Oryctolagus cuniculus: one gene and its partners. The protein of the gene in region 2 interacts with the protein of the main gene of each other region in a biochemical or structural test. Links are inferred from orthologs where the notes say so. Each region holds a gene or a part of one and is shown on either strand. Other genes may lie near its edges.

Evidence for each region.
Region 1: the proteins of DTL (region 2) and KMT5A form a complex in vitro, tested with the Homo sapiens proteins (2 studies listed by BioGRID, with this or other methods). The link is inferred for Oryctolagus cuniculus from reciprocal best matches to the Homo sapiens genes DTL and KMT5A.
Region 3: of the proteins of DTL (region 2) and CHEK1, one has a biochemical effect on the other in vitro, tested with the Homo sapiens proteins (2 studies listed by BioGRID). The link is inferred for Oryctolagus cuniculus from reciprocal best matches to the Homo sapiens genes DTL and CHEK1.

The regions. Positions count from the first base shown.
Region 1 is NC_091452.1:5,945,765-5,948,282, forward strand, and holds part of KMT5A (N-lysine methyltransferase KMT5A), read right to left. Parts: intron 2,453-2,518; coding exon 2,393-2,452; intron 421-2,392; coding exon 230-420; intron 1-229. UniProt on the Homo sapiens protein: Protein-lysine N-methyltransferase that monomethylates both histones and non-histone proteins. Specifically monomethylates 'Lys-20' of histone H4 (H4K20me1).
Region 2 is NC_091444.1:26,552,103-26,556,301, forward strand, and holds the start of DTL (denticleless protein homolog), read left to right. Parts: upstream 1-1,354; 5' UTR 1,355-1,653; coding exon 1,654-1,705; intron 1,706-1,733; exon of another isoform or gene 1,734-1,868; intron 1,869-2,987; exon of another isoform or gene 2,988-3,060; intron 3,061-4,058; exon of another isoform or gene 4,059-4,080; coding exon of another isoform or gene 4,081-4,099; intron 4,100-4,199. Other genes in the region: INTS7 (integrator complex subunit 7), read right to left, coding at 1,104-1,197. UniProt on the Homo sapiens protein: Substrate-specific adapter of a DCX (DDB1-CUL4-X-box) E3 ubiquitin-protein ligase complex required for cell cycle control, DNA damage response and translesion DNA synthesis.
Region 3 is NC_091432.1:118,833,236-118,836,887, forward strand, and holds part of CHEK1 (serine/threonine-protein kinase Chk1), read left to right. Parts: intron 1-3,293; coding exon 3,294-3,482; intron 3,483-3,652. UniProt on the Homo sapiens protein: Serine/threonine-protein kinase which is required for checkpoint-mediated cell cycle arrest and activation of DNA repair in response to the presence of DNA damage or unreplicated DNA.

The DNA of each region.
Region 1 (2,518 bases), on a different chromosome or scaffold from region 2:
GGTGGGCTGCCGGGCAGGGCTGTGTGAGACGGGTCCAGTTCTGCTTCTCGCTGGATGAGGCGGCCCCCAGCCCACCTCCCACCCCGGGGCTTCCAGACAGGAAGTAGGGAGACAGCCCCGAGACAGGCAGCAAGAACTGCACCCAAAGCCGAACCACAAAGAGCTCGATCAGCCCAGGCCCGTGGCTGGCGGGGCGCGGGGCGGCCACGCGAAGCAGCCGCGGACTTACCAGTAGGTTTTGCTCAGATACTGGAAGTAGTACATGTAGCAGCCCGTGGAGGGGTCCTGGGCGTACAGAGCCTCGCGCTTCTTGGCATCGGTGATCTCGATGAGGTCGCCGTGGTACTCCACCACAAAGTCACCCCGGGAGAACTGCTTCGTGGCAATTACGCCCCTGCCTTTGCCGTCGATGAGGTCAATCTGCCAGGAGGCGGCGAGAGAGCATTGGTTTTTAATAGCAGTGGCGGCTGCAAGGCACGGGCCTTCCTGGGGGCCCGCCAGGGGCAAGCTTTATCTTATTATTATTTTCAAATTTTCAGGATTCATTTATTTACGTGAAATGCAGAGTTACAGATAGAGAGGGAGAGACAGAGCTCTTCCACCTGCTGGTTCATTCCCCAAACACCAGGGCTGACCCAAGCCAAAGCCAGGAACTCCATCCGGGTCTCCCACGCGGGTGCAGGGGCCCAAGCACTTGGAGCATCTTCCGCTGCTTTCCCAGGACCCTAGCAGGGAGCCGGATCGGAAGCAGAGCAGCCGGGACACAAACTGGCGCCCACACAGGATGATCGCGTTGCAGGCAACAACTTCACTCTAAGCCCCAACACTGGCCCCAGGAGCAAACCACACTGAAGAGTGGATACAGCTGTGCAGCCACCGCCGCACCCCAACTTCAGAACTCCTGTGTCCCAGGGCACCAGTGTGCCCGTGTGCAGGGTCCCGGAGCACCAGTGTGCCCGTGTGCAGGGTCCCGGGGCACCAGTGTGCCCGTGTGCAGGGTCCCGGGGCACCAGTGTGCCCGTGTGCAGGGTCCCGGGGCACCCGTGTGCCCGTGTGCAGGGTCCCGGGGCACCCGTGTGCCCGTGTGCAGGGTCCCGGGGCACCCGTGTGCCCGTGTGCAGGGTCCCGGGGCACCCGTGTGCCCGTGTGCAGGGTCCCGGAGCACCAGTGTGCCCGTGTGCAGGCACTGCACGAGGTCCCCAGGGCAGAGCTACCCCAATGCTGCAGATCAGCAGACCCGGGCTCACAGAGCACAGCCATGTGGCTGAGGCCACAGAGCCAGGAACTGCACCGCATAGCCTCGGCCTCGCCGTTTAGGTTCCAGTGCCAAGAGCAGGGCCCGGGGGCTGGCGCTGTGGCACAGCAGGTAAGGCTACCGCCTGCAGTGCCGGCATCCCATATGGGCACCGGTTCGAGTCCCGGCTCCTCCTCTTCCCATCCAGCTCTCTGCTATGGCCTGGGAAAGCAGAAGATGGCCCAAGTCCTTGGGCCCCTGTACCTACCCCTGGTTTTGGATTGACAAAGCTCTGGCCATTGCAGCCATCTGGGGAGTGAATCACCAGATGGAAGACACCTCTCTCGCTGCCTCCGCCTCTGCCTTCAAATAAATAAATGAATCTTTGAAAAATAAAAAAGTGCAGGGCCTGGGTCCCAGTCTCCCCTCACTCCCTGCCAGAGCTCCCCTTGCTCCATCAAGATGGAGTCAGGGCGGGGGCTTTAGGGGCCCGGGACTTGAGCTCCGATTCCGTTTTGGGGCTGTGGGGTGGGCACTGAAGATTTCTGAGCCCAGGGCCAAGTCCAGACCCACCAGGCCACCCCAGCATAGAGTGGAGAGTTACTCCCCTCTCCCCAGAGCGCGGGTCACTCGGGATTGCCATTGCGCAGGACAAGAGTTCAAGACAAATGTATCAGTTTCCCCTTTGATATAAGTCAAAGCAGCCGGACCCGGCCAGCTGCACACCCACACTGTGTGGCTCAGGCGGCAGGACGCACCGGGGGACAGATCCAGGGCCCAGAGTGTGCCGGGCTGGCAGGGGAGCAGGGTAAGTTCTGGAACTGGGTAATGGTGATGGTTACACAACATCCTGACTGCGCCCCATGACACACAAGTGTCCACTTTAAGAAGACATGTGTTCTATTATGGGCACTTCACCACGACTTTAAAACCTTCCCCCCGGGTAACACGGACGCACAAAGCCCATTTATGTTTCCTTCATGAAGCAAGCGTCTCCTTGGCAGTGTGAGTGCCTGGCTCTCTGACACCCCAGGAGCCTGACCAGTCCCTGCGACACTGGTGGCCAAAGCCGCAGGCGGCCCCCCCACGCCGGCTGTGAGTGGACAGCCTCGGCCACGCCCACCCTCGGCCACGCCCACGGGCTCTGCCGACCCTTACCTTCATCCCTTCTTCCTTCCCGCTCTCGATCAATTCATCTATTCTTTTCCGTTCTTCCGACTGGGGGGAGGAGAGAGAGAGGGAGGGGGAGGGGGAAGGGAAGGGAAGGGGGGGAAGGGAAGGGAG
Region 2 (4,199 bases):
GAACACCCGGAAGAGGCTCCTGGCTCCTGGCTTCGGAGTGGTGCAGCTCTGCCCGTTGTGGCCAGTTGGGGAGTGAACCATCGGATGGAAGACTTTTCTCTCTCTTGGCCTCTCCTCTCTCTGTGTAACTCTTTCAATTAAATAAATAAATCTTAGGAAAAAAAAAAAGGATCCTTCTGACTTCCAGTCCAGTTCTATGATAATACACGGGCTACACATAATCCAATATTAAGTGTACATCAGCTGATAAAATACTTCCCCTATGCAACAGAAGTCCTTGAAGTATACTGAATCATAGGGTCCATGTTCATACTCGAGTTCTTCACTAATAAATATTCGCCTTGCCTCCTATATTCACATCTATACAGAAAAGCGTACCTCTTCAGCATTTAATAAATGCTTCTTTTGCATACAATTATATCACTTAATAATTACAAATCTCTCCAGCTCAGTGGCACTGGACCCACTTTGCAGACAGTAAGTCGAGGCTAGGTGCAGTTAGGTGACTCGTCCAAGATCCCAAAATGAGCAGAACTGAAATTCAACTCAGTAGAACCCCAAAGTTCCTTCTACTACGCCAAGCTGCCCCCTGTAAGGAAACCGAACTCATGCAACTTGTGTCCAGGGAATGAGCACAGGCCATGCTTTTCGGGTGATCTTGGTCATTTTTAACCTACCTTGTAACCCGCAGGCCACAGAGCTGCGGAAATCAAAGAGCTACAAAGTCAGTGCCAAAGTCGTGATGAAGACCTGGTCGCAACTGCAAGCACTCAAGAATATTTTCACAATTTCAACCTGGTGTTTTTAGGAACTAGCCACTTTCGCTGTTTGGAAAATCGGGGGACTGTGCCCTCAAGCGGTCAAAACGGGACCCCCACTAGAGCTCGCTGCTGGTTCAGCGGACGCAAAGTCCATCAGGCGACCCTGCAGTTCTCCTGCAGGATCCGGAGATCGCCAAAGCCCTGGCCCCAGAAAAGCTTAGGCGCCGCCCGCCCAGCGAGGCTGCGCGCATGCGCCTTCCCAGCCCCTCCAGAGGCTGCCACCACCTGGCGGCGCCACTTCCCCCACGCCCGGTCCCCCGCTCAGCCCGCTCTTTCGAATACCTTTGTCCAATTCCATAAGAGCAGAGTTAGCATCCAGTTCCTGTTCGCCATAGCCGGCATCTGCCAGGAATGACTTAGTTGAGTTTGACGCCATGACTCGAATAGTTACTCGACTAGCCCAGTCAGACAGATCACAAACTCTGCCCCAGCACCGCCATCTTCTCCTGCCGCCTTCTCGCGGATTTTTCCTCCGCGCTCTGTCAAGCCGTGCCACGCATGCGCCCCGGTCACCCCACGGTTCGCCGGCGCCTCTGCGGCCCCCCGCGCAGGCGCTCAGGGAGCTCCCGAACCCTAGGTTCCCGCGGCTGGGAGAAAAGGAGGCGGGGATTCCAAGGGGGAAGTGACTCTGAGACGGCCGGACGCCGCCCCGGGAGCCAATCAGAGCGTGTGACGTCAGTTTGGCGCGGAGTTTGGCGGCCGGGGCTCCCAGTGGCGGGAGTTGGAGGCAAAAACGAGTCGCGTTGCGAGGGGCGCAAGCTACGGCTTCTGCGGGGCTTGGGGGGGCGTTTTCACGGCTTTTCTCTCACTTGAGTCTCTTCCTTCGGCCCTCATGCTCTTCAATTCGGTGCTCCGCCAGCCCCAGCTTGGCGTTCTGAGGAATGGTGAGTAACGGTCTTCAACCGCTGCTGCTCGCTGGCGGGATTCCTCCCCCCAAACACACGCCGCCTTGGATCGGGGCCGACTCCAGCCCTAGGTCCCCGCTTTCGAGTTCTCCCACGGCGGGACGGGGTTGGTGTTCGCGAGGAGTGCCGAAGAAAGCGGGGCGTGCGTTCCTGCAGGACATTTTTGGTCGCGAACGGGCGTTTTGCATCGTGGTGTAGGCCGAGGGAAGGAGGGACGGAGGCCGGCCCTTATGGCTTACGTCTATATTGCGCGTTAACTGGGAAAGGCATGCCATGTGTTCTCTCAGCAGCTCCGTGAGACCGTCCAGGCTCGGATCCATTAGTTAGCCCGTTAGTTCGTGGTAGAACCCTAGAGAACCCCACTATTTGTGATCGCAGCGGACGTGAGCGCTGCGGAGGACCTCGATCGGGCAGAGAGGACAGGACATCTGCTCTCCGCCGGGTCGAAATGCAGCCTCCCCCCCTTTCCACACAGCCATAAAAATTCCGAACTGTAGCGTCCAAGATGCCCATAACCACGTCCCCCGGGGACGGCCGCGGTTAATAGGTTGAAGTATATTATTCTAGATTTGTTGGATGTCCGGAAAGAAATATTTTCAGAAATGAAATCAAAACGTTTTGTTTTTCTTTTTAGCAGCGTTAAGTTGTCCCTATTCCCGTGTCCGCCTGTAGAAATCCAGCTCATTTTCTGCAGTTCTCTAGGTTATAAGAGTTAAATCACTGGCACAAGGAGATTTGAGCTTAGGTTTGGGTATCATCGACCTGAAATTTTTGATACTTTTCTGAAATAGGGGTTAACTCTCTAGACTAACCCGGGACGGAAATGAAATCTCATTTTTTTTAGAAGTGTGCAATACCCAGAGGTCCCCCTGCCCATGGTAACCATGTGGAAAAGACAAAGATAAAGGAAAGACTGAGAAAGGAACTTTTTATTTAAGGAATGGGTCTCAAAATGGATGTTGATAAGACTGAAGAGTGATTGCCTGCACTTCCTGCTCCAGATCTAAAACTATCCTGCTTTCCCTCTTGCCTCTGAGCTAACCTTTGTGGTTGCACTCTAAATCCTTCTCTCTCTGTCTCTCCTAGGAACTTGCTGAACACCTCTCTGTCCTCTGTGTCTCGGAGGGCTGTGCAGCACGGTGGTTAAGAATGCGATTGTCTTTGGAGTTAACTGCCTGGGTTTTAATTACAACTCCACTCCTTACTTTTCGTGTGACCTGGGGCAAACTATTGAGCCTCTATTTTGTGACAGATTTTCTCCTAATTCTCCAATACATCTGTCTACTTTTTCTCCTTCCTCTCCTATTCACGAGTACTCATTCATTGTTAATGTGGTAAGCACTAAAATTCACTCATTATGTGTTGCCCATTTAAATATTCAGTTACCTTCTCCTTATCCTTAAATGTTAGTGTTCCATCCTTGGCCCCTTTTGCCTATTGCCATAGGTAATCACAGCCATAACTAGGACTTCTTAAACTAGTACGTATAACCTTTAATCTCCTACCTATATTTTAGATTCATTTCTAAAAAAGCTGTATGGGTTGTGCCCCCCCACTTTGTGGCTCCTGTGAGCACCTGAAATGCAAATTCCCAAAACCAAACATAATTTGCCTTCTGAACCTTCTGTGTGACCTACAGGAGTAGCCCCATTGTTTTAAAAGAGGAATTGGAATTTTTATCACAAGTTTAAATAGATGCTAAGAACATGATTTGTGGCTATATTGTGAGTACTGACATCTTAAAAATACTAACTCTTCTAAATTTATCTGGTAGAATGAATACTGATTTAATAATCACATCATCTGTTTAAAAATATGAATAAACTCTTCCTTAACTGCAGAATATTCTATGCAGTTGCTTTTTTCTCTTGAAGTTATTTCTACTGTATTTCTCCTACAGAACTTAACCTAATATAAGTTGTTGTATACTTGAAAAGTCCTTTTACTGATAATCCTGTCTTGTCCTTCTGTGTCCAAAAGTACATTTAAATTGCTGTTTTCTGTTATCATAATGCTTTAATGTTAAATGTTTCTCCTGGGTTTAATTTTCATTACAGTTTTTAGTATGTGATTGATAAAAACAATATATGATCAGTTTTGATGAATAATTATTAAAAAGTAACTTTTATTGAAATTACATGTTTTAAAGGTGGATTTGGGTGTTTGTGGTGCTATTCTTAAATAAATGATCCAGTTATCTCAGGTGGGATACCAGAAGGCTTTTGGTTTTACTTAAAAATATTTAATTGATACCTAGGAGTTTTTATACCTTGAGTCAGTGTAAGGTATATAGTTGGGAAATGGAGAATGCCTTTTTTTTTCTTTGTTAAAGGAAATGATGAAGGTAGAGAAAGATGTACCTCACCCTCTCAGGTCAGTTTTAGAAATGCATATATATGTATGTGTGTGTGTGTATGTATATATATGTGTGTGTGTGTGTGTGTGTGTGTATGTATATATGGAAATTAGTTCT
Region 3 (3,652 bases), on a different chromosome or scaffold from region 2:
TTAATTTATGAGTTGGATAAAGATGCAAGAAAATTAGTTATTTTATAGATGTCATATAACTGAGAGGGATAGTTAGTGAAAGTGTTAGATTGTAGAGTGAGAATTTTAAAAAGTAAAGAAATGTTAGCTATGTGAGGAAGAGATTTTTATTTTGTTTAATGCTGTAAACTAGCAAAAAGTCAGCTTTCAGAAATACTTATTAAATGAATGAACTTAGCAGATAAGAGAAGTGGGTCATATCTTTATTTTTTTATTTATTATGCTTTTAAGATTTATTTTATTTGAAAGGCAGAGTTACTGAGAGAAGAGGAGAGACAGAGAGAGGGATTGATCTTCCATCCACTGGTTCAGTCCATAAATGGCCACAACAGCTAGAACTGGGCCAGGCTGAGGCCAGGAGCCAGTGTCTTCCAGATTTCCCATGTGGTCACAGGGGCTGTCTTCTGCTGCCTTCCCAGGCATGTTAGCAGGGAGCTGGATTGCAAGTGGAGCAGCTAGGACTCGAACTATTGCCTATGGGATGTTGGCGCTGTAGATAGCAGCTTATCCTCCTTGGCCATAATGCTAACATGCCCCGCCCCCATCCCCTTTTTTCTTCTTTCTGTGTGTGTGTGTGTATATATACACATTATTTTTTATGGATCAAATCTATTAAGTTGCTTTTGGGATTGTTGACTCCCATGAATGGATCTGTTCAAAACTGGAATAGGTTGCTTTGGGATTTCATAACATCAGAGCCAAACACTAAGTAATTTTTCAAGGATGTTTTTAATTAATATTTATTTGAAAGGCAGGATTACAGAGTGGGAGAGGCAGAGAGAGAGAGGAGAGAGAGAGAGATTGAGCTTCCATCCACTGGTTCACTCCCCAAATAGCTACAATGGCCAGGGCTGGACCAGACTGAAGCCAAGAGCCTGGAGCATTTTCCAGGTCTCTCAGGTGGTTGCAGGGACCCAAGTACTTGGGCCATCTTCCGCTGCTTTCCCAGCGCATTAGCAGGGAGCTGGATCGGAAATAGAGCAGCTGGGTCTCAAACTGTTGCCCATATGAGATGCTGGCATCGCAGGCAGATGCTTAACTTGTTGCGCCACAGTGCCGGCACCAAAAAATTAATTATCAGGAATATTTAAAGATAATTTAAAAACTTGACTAATAGGACTAAGGTACTTTCAAGATCTTGTCCAACCATGTAATTTAGTTACTTAGCCTTCTGCTAGTTTTTTCATAAAGCTTTAAAAAATTTAAAAATAATCTTTTAAAAAATACACTTATCTTCTAATTCCACTTTTCTATGAACTGTGAACCAGTGGATGGAAGACCTCTCTCTCCCTCTCCCTCTCCCTCTCCCTCTCCCTCCCCTCCCCTCCCCTCCCCTCCCCTCCCCTCCCCCTTTCCCCTCTCTCTCTCTCTCTCTCTCTTCCTTTTTCTGTAGCTCTTTCAAATAAATAAACCTTTTTTAAAAAAAGTTACAGATAGCTATTTAAAGGATAGATCACTCTGGCTACCTCTGAAGTCAAATACAAGTAAATATCAGGATTACTTAAATATTATGTTGTGTGAATGTACTTGATTTTTTAAAGAATCAGTCCCCTATTTTGAGGCATTAACTTTCTAACTTAAATAGAATAGTGATTCCTCTTCTATATATTTGTGCACTGGTCCAGCACAAAAACTGAGTCATGTTATAATAAAAATTTGTTACAGCACTAGCCTTTTTCCTGGTTTATATCCCAAAATTCAATGGCAGTGAATGTGGATATATCTTGTGCTTTTTTTTTAAAGTAGCTACCTCCATAGTTTTCATTGTACACATTGTTATGAGATTAAATAGTCTTTTTACTGATGGATGTTTAAGTTATTTACCAATAGTATTGCTTTGAGTATCCTTGTGTTTGAATTTGTGGGATTGTTTCTGTGGATATGGTCTTAGAAGGGGAACGTGCTGGGGCTGGTGCCGTGGCTCATTTGGTTAATCCTCCGCCTGTGGCGCCAGCATCCCATATGGGTGCCAGGTTCTAGTCCCCGTTGCTCCTCTTCTGGTCCAGTTCTCTGCTGTGGCCTGGGAGGGCAGTGGAGGATGGTGCAAGTGCTTGGGCCCCTGCACCCACATGGGAGACCAGGAGGAAGCACCTGGCTCCTGGCTTTGGATCGGTGCTGCGTGCCAGCCGTAGTGGCCATTTAGGGGGTGAACCAATGGAAGGAAGGCCTTTCTCTGTCTCTCTCACTCTTCCTGTCTAATGAAAAAAAAAATGGAACGTGCTGACTCAAGGAATGAATATTCAAATTTTGACATCTTTTGCCATATGGCCTTCTAAAAAGGTTTTATCAGTTTTTATCATCTAAAAAGGTTTATAGATGGCTTTCCCTTACTTACGGGTCTGGGTTAGATCCTTATGATTTTCTGTATTTTCATAAACTTCATGATAATTATCTATTATCTTTTTCAATGATTTATCTACCACCTGCATTGGCTAATATAATATCTGTCATTTGGTTATAGTATTCATCAAGTGTAAATTAAGTTGAAAATCCTGACTGCGGTGTGCCTAATGTGTAACTGTTGTTTTCTTCCTGCCCTCCATGCTATGTGATGAAAGGCATTGCTCTACTTTCAGCTCATGTTTGGAATTTGGGAATGCTCTTTTCTAGAAACACAGCCCCCCCGCCCTTTAAAACATATTGATTTATTTATTTGAAAGGCAGAGTTACAGAGAGAGAAGGAGAGACAAAGATCTTCCATCCGCTGGTTCATTCCCCAAATGACCTCAACTACTGGGGCTGGGCCAAGCTGAAGCCAGGAGCCCAGTCTCCCATGTTGGTGGCAGTGGATCATGTACTTGGGCCATCTTCTTCTGTCCTCCCTGGCTCATTAGCAGGGAGCTGGATTGAAGGTGGAACAGCTAGGACTTGAACTGGTGCCCATACAGGATGCTGGTGCTATAAGCTGTGGCTTAACCTGCTATGCCATAGTGCTGGTCCCACATAGCCCCTGTGACTCCAACATTTTCCTTTAACTTAGTCTAAACTGTTGGTGTGTGTTGATACTTCTCTTAAGTTAATGGAAGAGATGAATCTGTTTCCTAACTTTGGTATAGGTGGTAATGCCTTTTACTTTTTCTTACATTTAAACATTTCTTTTTGTTTATTTTTTTCATCTAAGGTAGAGAATATTTTCATTTAAGGTAGAGAAAGTTCTATGAATTTTAAGTAACACGAGTGATTTTTCCAATAGAAATTAATTCCTTTATCTGTTTGCAAAATGTTCAATGTCATCCTTGTTTCTTTTTGTTTAGATAACCTCAAAATCTCCGACTTTGGCTTGGCCACAGTGTTTCGGCATAATAATCGTGAGCGTTTATTGAACAAGATGTGTGGTACATTACCTTATGTTGCTCCAGAGCTTCTGAAGAGAAAAGATTTTCATGCAGAACCAGTTGATGTTTGGTCCTGTGGAATAGTACTTACTGCAATGCTGGCTGGAGGTAAGACCATGGCAAATTCCTGTCCTAAGAAAAGTCAGATTTTTTTGCACTAAAATCAATTAAATAAACCAAGAGAGTCCATATTATAAATTTTTTGTTTTAAAAAATAATTGAGAGAAAGAGAAAGTATGCACTCACATCTACTGGTTCACTCTCTAAATGCCCAAAAT